Drosophila melanogaster: one gene and its partner. The protein of the gene in region 1 purifies or fractionates together with the protein of each later gene. This does not show direct contact. Each region holds a gene or a part of one and is shown in the gene's direction. Other genes may lie near its edges. The genes, in order: Ski6 and Dis3.

Region 1 (3,466 bases):
ATATTTCTTCTGTGGCTCCGGTCGCGGCTGTCGATGTGGCGGAGCTGGTGGAGCTCTAAGGGGAGCGGAGGTCGCGGTTTTTCCAAGCCTCCTGTGGACGGGCACCGTGTCCTGTCGGCTAAACAGCTCGTCGCTGCGCATGCGTATGGTCTTGCCCTTAACAGGACTGAGTCGAGCCTGTGGTTTCCTTGCAGGCGATGCCTTTAGGTTGTATGTCTTCTTCGTGGCATGAAGTTTGGATACTAAAAAAAATGTTATAAATTAATTGACTGTGCCACTTCTGCTCTGAAGCAAACATACCCATTCCGAGCCTTGATTTAATATTATTCGCAAAACTTTTGCCCTGCCTATTTTTGTATGCCGATTCGGGAACGATTTCCCGAACCTCCGCTGTCGAGGCGAACTTAACAATCTTTTCGCCGGCTCCCATATCAAAATCTTCTCCGCTGGACATGTAATCCTCTTCGTCACTTTCGAAATCGTCCATGCTATCATCGTCGTCGTCGCCTTTTTTAAGAGGCACTTTGTGAACTAGCATGACCTTTTGCTGCGTTACAGCGGCCACCTTCTTCGCTTTCACAATGGGCGAGTTCTTGGTGACCCCTCCTCCTCCTCCTCCACCACCAACTGTACGGTGTGTGTTTTTAAGGATCGATTTGATTTCCCTGGTCGAAGTGAACTCCTCCGGAAGAGCGCCCTGCTTGCCACCGAGTCGAGCGAAGACCGAATTATTGCTGGAGGTGGCCGCTGTTTTTGATGCGCCGGCAACGTGCACGCGGACGCTGCTCTCGCCCGAACTGGAGACAATGCCCTCCTGCGCCTCGTCCTCGGCATGCAGGCGCGTAAATATGTCCGACTTTTTGGAGCTGCTCACACGATCGGAGTATACTAAAAGAAGATATATTGAAAATTTGATCTTGTTCTTTAGAAATCTGTAATCTTACATTTTTCCCGCTTGGCTAAGATCTGTTTGCTGCGCTCGGTGGTTCCCGAGGGCAGTGTCACCTTGTACTTGCCCTCGTGCTCCGGAAGCACCCGTCTTGCAGGTTTCGCAGGCGGATAAACCTTTGCTTTTGGAGTTGCAACCGGCGCTTTGGGTTTTGGCGATACCGGTCGGACAACTGATTGAACCACCTCCGTTGTGAGGACCTGTTCCCGGGCATTCTGTTCGCAGACGGTCTTTGAGTGCCGCAGGATGGCGATTATATCGCCCATCAAGGTTATGCCCATTTCCCGGAGATACTCCTTGTTAAGATCCAACAGCATGTCGTCCTGGATGCGGTTCTCCACGAAGACGTGGGCATAGCCGGCAGCCGCAGGAGATGGGATGCCGGCCGCATTGAAGAATTTTACCCAGCGTGCTGTAATTTTCGGTGGTGAGTTCATTATTTTTAAAGTGTGTGATATTTTTTAGGTCTTTATTTTTGTTTCGCACCCGGAAGCGTCTGTTCAGTTTGTTTCGTTTTCACGATGTTATAAACCCACCTGCGCTTGACTTGGACATTTTGCGTATTTCTGGTGCTGGCAAGCACAGATTCTTACACGATTCAGCTACTATTTATTTATTTTATTCCCATAAATTCCGTTTTTTGCACTCGAAACTATTTATATATTTTAGAGTTACCACAAATCCTGAACGATTATCGGTATTCGGTTATCGGATATCGATTAGACCATGTGTTAGTGTTGTTAAATTCCAAAATGTTGTAGTAGGGGTAATCAAAGCAAACACTGTTCAAATTTAAATTTAAAGAATCTTATTAAAATCCTTATTAAATTTCTATATATCGTGATTTAATGTAGTACACTTTGGCAATATATGCTTAATTATTTATTTACTCTTACATACGTACGGTGTACATATTAAAAGAAGTTAGTATAAAAAGGATTTTTTCATGGACTGTCGGTATTTTTAGTACTTCCACACTGTTGTTAAAATTGTAAACAAATCCCGCCGCACGTGTGATATTTAGTTAAAATCAAAATAATTGTATTTCTAAAGTTTCAAAATATGTCTGGTAAATACGATCTGCTCAGTGAGCAGGGCCTCCGTCTGGACGGACGACGTCCTCATGAATTGCGCCGCATCAAGTGCAAACTGGGAGTCTTCGAGCAGCCCGATGGAAGTGCCTACATGGAGCAGGGAAACACCAAGGTTCTGGCTGCCGTCTATGGACCCCACCAGGCCAAGGGCAATCAGACAGAGTCCGTCATCAACTGTCAGTACAGTCAGGCAACCTTCTCCACGGCGGAGCGCAAAAATAGGCCGCGCGGCGATCGCAAATCTCTGGAGTTCAAGTTGTACCTGCAGCAGGCGCTAAGTGCTGCCATTAAATCAGAACTATATCCCCGCTCCCAGATAGACATATACGTGGAGGTGCTCCAAGACGACGGCGCCAACTATGCGGTGGCTCTTAATGCCGCCACACTGGCGCTAATTGATGCGGGAATCTGCCTCAATGAGTTCATTGTCGCCTGCACCGCCTCACTGAGCAAATCGAACATCCCGCTCACAGACATCTCTCAGTTCGAGGAGGTATCCGGCGGACCGAAACTAACCGTGGCTGCCTTGCCTACCGCCGAGAAAATCGCCTTTCTTGAGATGAGTGAGCGGTTCCACATCGATCACTTGGAAACCGTCATCGAGACTGCTATGGCGGGTTGCCGCGAAATAAGGGACATTCTGGAGGCAGCAGTCAAGGAGCACCTTCTGCACATGGGCAGTGCCTCTGACTTTGCGAAAGTTGGTTGAAATAAAGTAATCTTTTCTATTCCAATCTTGTCGTTTTTTACAATTGAAGGGCAACAATTATAATAAAAAGGAACCAACATTTACAAATTAAATAGTGTCTTTAACATTGTATTCAGATGGCTGCCCTTGCTCTCTTTTAATATAATTTCTGTTGCAAAAGCACAATTATCCTCTAAAACACAGGCGTATAAATGTAGTAACAAACGAAAGTAGCTCTAGTTTTTCTCAATAGCTTCTTTTGGTGGCTCCCACCTATCCAAGAGCTCCTTTAGTCGTTCCCTTCGATGTTCCAGTTGCAACTTCTCTATTAGTCCACTCAGTTGGTCGCCGCCCTTGAGGAAACCATTGAGGTTGTGCAGCGTACCGCCTTGAATTCGATGATCCGTTATGCGGTCCTGGACGAAATTGTAGGTACGGATCTTCTCATTGCGATTGAGACTACCCTGTTGCGCCTTCTTGGTGGCCATTTTGCTAGCCTCAACGCTCTCCAACTGCTGTTGCACAAGTCGCGACCGTAGACGCTTCATCGCTAGCTCCCGGTTTTTGAGCTGGGAGCGTTCCGATTGCGCCTCCACCGCCAGACCCGTGGGCAGATGAACAATTCTTACAGCCGAGTCGGTGGTGTTAACATGCTGTCCACCAGCTCCACTCGCTCGCTTCGTCTCGATCTTCAGATCCTTCTCAGCGATGTGCACTTGGATGTCGGCGGGTCGG
Region 2 (6,600 bases), on another chromosome or scaffold:
TCAAAGTGATTTGGTCCTTGTTGCGTGTTAGGATGCGGAACTTAGTTGTTTGTCCCTCGAAAAATGAGCTATTTTCCTTTAGATTCTGCCTGTGCAAAACTCCTTTGATGCCGTTGCCGAACTTCACTAGGACGTAAGTGTCCTCACATCGGACTACTGTGCCCATATAGACGTTTCCAACGTGAGCGGACGCATAATCAGTCAGAATTTTAATTCCCTTGCCCAAATACTCGGCACGATTGCTCACGTAGCAGATTTTTCGCTCGGCATTAACTTCTAGGACGCGGCACTTCAACGACTGACCCACATCGTAGCGGACATTGGGTGCCAGATAGAACTGTTCCAGTATTCCGTTGACCTTGCCGATCCTCACCGACCAGCCCTTGATCTTGTCATCCTTCTTGAATATTTTCGCTGTGACCAGATCGCCGGCATTAATATCCTCCAGGCAGAACAGCTTTTCGTTGACCACGTTGGGATCATCGGAGCAGTAGTACAAGGATTCGATGACATCGTATCCTAGGATGCGAACCTTATGCTTCGTTTTTCTTCCGTATTTGGACAATACTTCGTCCTTGTCATAATTTCCCTTGAAATTGCCTCTGATTGAACCGTATGAGATAATGCCCTTTAGTTTCTTATTAAGAAGCAGTACCACGCCACCGCTGCCCAAGCGCAGAACCTTGGCTTTTTCCACCACGGAACCCACCTTTATGGGCTCTACCTCCTGCTCTTCCTCATCCTGATCTTTTGCTACTGCAGCTCCAGTTTTGATATCCAGATTAAGAGTTAAGTACACTAGTTTGGTTAGGGGCATCACGTAGAGTACCCTGGCATTGTAATCCTCATTCAGCTCGTAGGCATCCAAAGTATCCAAAGCGTTAGCTAGATGATGTTCGTTGACGTAGGCACTAAAGGATTCATTCATGATGCTGCCTTTGAGGCCATCCTTCAGATGCTTGGCCACCTTAAACTTTACAATGCTGCCTGGCAGAATGTAGTCGAGATTCGTCTCGTTTTGACTCTTGATGCGCAGCTGGTCCTGCTCCACCTGGACACAGGTGCAGGTGCTCTGGTGGGTGTCGTGATGAACGGTTTTGACTTTTAGGAAAGCCAACTGCCCCACGTGTAGCTTCTGAGCTGGCTTCTCGCATGGCACGAATGCCTGAAGTCCTTGTACTCCCGACTCGATGACATAGCCGTGCTCCAGAGCCTCCGCCACGGCGCCAGAGAAGATGAAACCCTTCTTAATGCTCTTGTGATGCAGATTACCGTGCACATCGGCCGGCTTGAGGGAAAGGAGCAGGCTAACCCGACCGGTGTCCAGCTTTTCTGTTTTGATGGCCTTGCCGTAGACGATGCGGCCCAACTGGAAGAGCTCGGTAAGGTCGTGGTACTCGCTGGTGTCTCCGGACATGGCCGCCTTGGCCACACGGGTGTAGGCGTCGGATATATCCGCCACCAAGGTGCGGGCGAACATCCGACCGGGCAAAGCGATCTGCAGTGCGGTGGCTGTCAACTCCTTGACCACTCCCATGACCAGCATGTCCTCCTGCAGCGTGTCCATATTGAGCGTTTCCGCGGAGAAGGCCTCCAGTTGGCCATTTTGTTCCTCGGTTTCGTAGCTCAGAAGGTTCTCTTTTACTTTCGGCGCCTTCTTCACCTTCTTCTGCGAGGCACCGAAAACCTGTGGGACAGAAAAGTATGTACAAAGATCTCGGATATTTCGCTGGCTAAACTCACGATATTCAGGCTCACGTCGTCGGTTTTGACTTCGCTGTGGATTGTCCCGCCTCGGGGAAAGCTTTTCTCGTTCGGCACCATCCGGGAGCTGTGTAATTTAGCGTTTTAAATAACAAAATTTGAGCAACGTGCGTTCTACACGTGCTAAGCGCCGATATAGAAAATCAGTTCAATAAATGGTACTAAATTATACCTTAAGATACGGGGCAGTCCGTAGACTCAAACCACTGTGACCATTGCGGCTGCAGTGTGAACAGGCCTTAGGCAGATAATACCGCAGTCGAATCATGCACGGGCCTCCCTATTCCGGCACACATGTGAAGGTGTAACAATTCGAACGCGGTTCAACAAAATGCAAACTTTACGCGAATTTACGCGTAAAACCAAGCGCGGCAACATTCTGAAGATTGTACGGGAGCACTATCTGCGCGACGACATCGGCTGCGGCTCCGAGCTGTGCCGGGAGTGTTTCCAAAACGAGGTATACCAGCTCACCTCGCAGCACGCGAATAAGAGCACCCTCTTCAAATTCCCGCACTATCTCGTTTTGGACACAAATGTGGTTCTGGACCAGATCGACGTGCTGGAGGAGGATGTTTTGCGCAACGTAGTCGTTCTGACCACCGTGCTCAACGAGGTGAAGCACAGGAGCTCCGCCATTTACAAGCGATTCAATGAGATCGTCCACGACCGCACCAGGAACTTCTATGTGTTCGTCAACGAGCACCACAAGTGGGTTAATGGATTTTCTTGGGAAACCTTTATAATATAGTGCTTCTTCTAGGGAAACCTATGCTGATCGCGAACCAGATGAGACCGCCAATGATCGCAATGATCGGGCCATTCGTCTGGCCACCAAGTGGTACGATGATCACCTGCAGGCCTCGCAATCCTCTAAAGAGTTCGAGCGCAGTGGCAAAGCTGCTACGCGAGTTGTTCTGCTCACAGATGATGCTGCCAATCGTGCTAAGGCCGAAGCAGAAGGTATTCTGGTGACCACAGCAGCGGAGTACGTGAAATCTCTCGAGGATTTTCCACTTCTGATGGATAAGCTGTCGCACAAAACATTCGACAGCGAGAAGAATGGTCTGCCCCAGTACCCGCCGCATCTCAGCATGAAGGAGCTGCTGGAAGGACTGCGCCAAAATAAGCTACTACAGGGCACTTTTCAGGCATCCAGGGAAAACTACTTGGAGGGCACCGTCAATGTAGAGAAATTCGAAAAGGGGGTAAGTTAAAACGCTAAATATCTTCCCTGGCATACGCTTCACAATACGATTTCTGTTTAATAGATCCTTATCCAAGGACGCGAGTCTCTTAATCGGGCCGTGGATGGCGACCTGGTGGCCGTGGAGCTTTTGCCCGAGGCGGAGTGGTCAGCACCCAGTGAAATTGTACTGGAGGAGAAGAATGTCTATGCCGATGAAGTGCCCAGCGAGGAAAGGGCCAAGGATGAAAATGAGATGTTGAATCAGGTGCGTGCCGCTGCCTTATCCGCAGAGCGCACGCCCACAGGGCGAATTGTCGGTATTGTGCGACGGAAATGGCGACAGTATTGCGGCATCCTGCAGCCTAGCTTAATAGAGGATACAAATCGGCACATCTTTGTGCCCGCCGACCGTAAGATTCCGCGCATCCGTATCGAAACGCGACAGGCAGCAATGCTGCAGAACCAGCGCATCATCGTAACGATTGACACATGGCCGCGCAACTCGCGCTACCCACATGGACATTTTGTGCGCTCCCTGGGACCGCTCGGAGACATGGCCACCGAGAACGAGGTTATCCTGCTGGAGCACGACGTCCCGCACTGCAAGTTCTCGGACGAAGTGCTTAGCTTCTTGCCGAAAATGCCCTGGACAATTACTGACGAGGACTATTCCAAGCGTGTGGATCTGAGGGATCTGTACATTTGCTCTGTGGATCCCCCGGGCTGCACGGATATCGATGATGCTTTGCACTGCAAGGAACTACCGAACGGCAATCTGGAAGTGGGCGTTCACATAGCCGACGTAAGTCACTTTATTCGTCCAGGAAACGCACTGGACATGGAGGCAGCGGCCAGGGGAACCACCGTGTACTTGGTGGGCAAACGAATCGACATGGTACCCGAGTTACTCAGCTCAAATCTCTGCTCATTGGTTGGCGGTGTTGAGCGATTCGCCTTCTCCTGCGTGTGGGAAGTGGACAATGAAGCAAATGTGTTAAGCAAACGCTTCCACAAGAGCGTCATCAAATCGAAGCGTGCCATGACCTACGAGGAAGCGCAGAATATCATCGACGATGCCACGCAACAGAATGAAATAGCCAAGTCCCTGAGAAATCTTAATCGGTTGGCCAAAATACTGAAAAAGCGACGAATGGATAATGGGTAAGATTATATTAACACCTCGTAATCAAGTGAACTAAGGCATCCATAATTTACAGAGCCCTTGTCCTTGCCTCCCCGGAGATCCGCTTCCAGGTGGACAGCGAGACACACGAACCACTCGAGGTGGAGGTGAAGCAGATGCGCGAGACGAATTCCATGGTGGAGGAGTTCATGTTGCTGGCCAACATCACGGTGGCCGAGCATATCGCAACGGAGTTCTCCGAGTGCGCTGTTCTGCGTCGCCATCCTCGGCCACCGCCTACCAATTTCGATCCGCTGGTAAAGTCTGCGCGCTACCAGGGCTTCCAGGTGGACATCAATTCGGGACTGGAGCTGTCGCATTCACTGGACAAGTGTGTCAAGGCGGATAATCCGTACTTTAACACAATGATCCGCATCCTCACCACACGCTGTATGATGCAGGCAGTGTACTTCATCAGCGGCAGTCTGCAGAAGGAGGAGTTCTTCCACTACGGTCTGGCTGCTCCCATCTACACGCACTTTACGTCGCCCATTCGTCGTTACTCCGACATTATGGTACATCGCCTGCTGGCCGCCTCAATCGGCGCGGATAGCACCTATGCCCAGCTATTGGACCGAAAGTCAAATGAGGAGCTGTGTCATAATCTTAACTACCGCCACAAAATGGCTCAGTACGCTGGTCGCGCATCAGTGGCCCTCAACACGCATCTCTTTTTCCGCGGCAAGGAGGAGGATGAGGAAGGGTGAGTCGAAGAAACCACTAGTGGGCAACATTCTTTTCAATTATTACCCATCCCTAGATATGTGCTATTTGTGCGCAAGAATGCTCTGCAAGTGCTAATCCCCAAGTATGGCCTGGAAGGCACTTTGTATCTAAAGTCGGACAAGGATGGCAAGGACGGTGTGGAGCGCGTCAAGAGCGAGATTGTCTTCACCTTCAACGAAGAGGATCATACACAGCGTTGCGGTGACGTGGTGTTCCACTCCTTTGATCCAGTCACGGTTCGTCTTAGCCTGGATTCCAGCAATGTGCAGCACGAGAAGCTGATCTTCCGGCTGGTCAAGCCGTACATCAAGGGCTTCAGCGTGGAAACGACCACCGAAGGAACTGATAGCCAAGCGGTTTCTGCGGCACCTCCATCGAAAAAGACAAAGAAGGATAAGAAAAAGAAGTAATTCTTTGGATCTTTGCTTATGTGGAACTAGACTACGCTGAAGATGTGTAACTACAATCATTTCGTATAAATAAAATGTAAGGTTTTTAAATTCCGCTCCGTTTCGTAAACCTTTTCCACCGTTCCGGCTCTGCCGATCTCGGAGAGTTTCGAAAGCATACCTTTGATCGGGTGTTTTGTTTAAGGTTTTGGTTTCCAACTTGCGTTCTACATTCTCCAGACCCATTGCAAAGTTTCGACTACAGTGCGACGGTTGTGCTGAGCTCGTTTGATCCAAAAAATTCAAAAAGAATATATATAATAAATACATATATACATTAACTTGACTTGAATATATACAAGAACGGAAGTTATACAAAGTTACAATGGAACCCGGTCCTAGTGCAGTGAACTACGAAGGCAGTAAGTCGAAAAAGGTTTCGAAATTCATATGAAAAGGCTAAAAAATTTAATCAATGAGTAATCGCGTGATTTTTGCGGAACATATATTTATATCGGTACACATATTTTAATACGCATATTGAAAACATCAGTTAAAATAAACAACTTTTAGAACATCAAATAAAGTGCTTGGAAAACTAATATGCCAACTTTCGTTGTGATCTAAATGAATTCTATAGATTTTCGAATTTTCCAAAAACTATCTAAGTGGAGTCCAACTTTTTACAATATTCTTGGATTCTTGCAGTGCGATGTAGATAGATAGATAATTTATGCACAAGAGTTCAAGGTGATAAATATTGTGTTTTAAACCACTGCTCGCCAATTAAAATAATGAACTTTCGATGCGACTTTGAAGTGATTAATTAGTGTTTAGTTGTGCGCCCAAACTGTCGGCACTAAATATTAATGAATTCGATTAGCTTATTCAACAAGGAGGCTTTTAGGTCCAATATCCATCGCCAATCACGTGTGGATTATGCTCGGCGTCTGGGTGAGCCGCACACCCGACGCATATGTGCAGTACATGGGTGCCAGGTTGGGTATATAGAAATCAGTTGAGTGACCGCGACATTTGGAAAATTTAAAATTCAATGTGCCTGGTGTGTGTAAGGTGGTATGGAGTGGAAGGTTTGTAATTTAGTTTGATAGCCTAATTAAAAGCAGCGATTAACCCAATAGAGGAAACAATGAACCCGCCCATCTAATGGTCACCTGCTGCTATACCTTTTCCGCAGGTGAATCTGTATGCGGCATGCCGGTGGAGGCTCACGATCCTCTCTACTTGAAGGCCTATCGCCAGAGTGTTCAGAATCCGGCTGCATTTTGGGAGGAGCAGGGTAACCTGCTCGACTGGGATCGGCCATGGGAGAAGGTACTGGACAACAG

The links.
Region 2: the proteins of Ski6 (region 1) and Dis3 purify together in Drosophila melanogaster (affinity purification with western blotting; 2 studies listed by BioGRID, with this or other methods). This does not show direct contact.

What each region holds. Positions count from the first base shown.
Region 1 is NT_033779.5:13,220,767-13,224,232, reverse strand, and holds Ski6 (Ski6), read left to right. Parts: upstream 1-1,803; 5' UTR 1,804-1,872; intron 1,873-1,925; exon of another isoform or gene 1,926-2,002; 5' UTR 2,003-2,011; coding exon 2,012-2,752; 3' UTR 2,753-2,836; downstream 2,837-3,466. Other genes in the region: CG16812 (uncharacterized protein), read right to left, coding at 1-242, 301-888, 945-1,361, 1,486-1,504; mRF1 (mitochondrial translation release factor 1), read right to left, coding at 2,968-3,466.
Region 2 is NT_033777.3:24,331,398-24,337,997, forward strand, and holds Dis3 (Dis3), read left to right. Parts: upstream 1-2,035; 5' UTR 2,036-2,095; coding exon 2,096-2,475; intron 2,476-2,527; coding exon 2,528-2,972; intron 2,973-3,035; coding exon 3,036-4,114; intron 4,115-4,170; coding exon 4,171-4,839; intron 4,840-4,896; coding exon 4,897-5,272; 3' UTR 5,273-5,636; coding exon of another isoform or gene 5,637-5,673; 3' UTR 5,674-5,851; downstream 5,852-6,600. Other genes in the region: Rrp5 (ribosomal RNA processing 5), read right to left, coding at 1-1,687, 1,744-1,824; CG6432 (uncharacterized protein), read left to right, coding at 5,637-5,673, 6,450-6,600.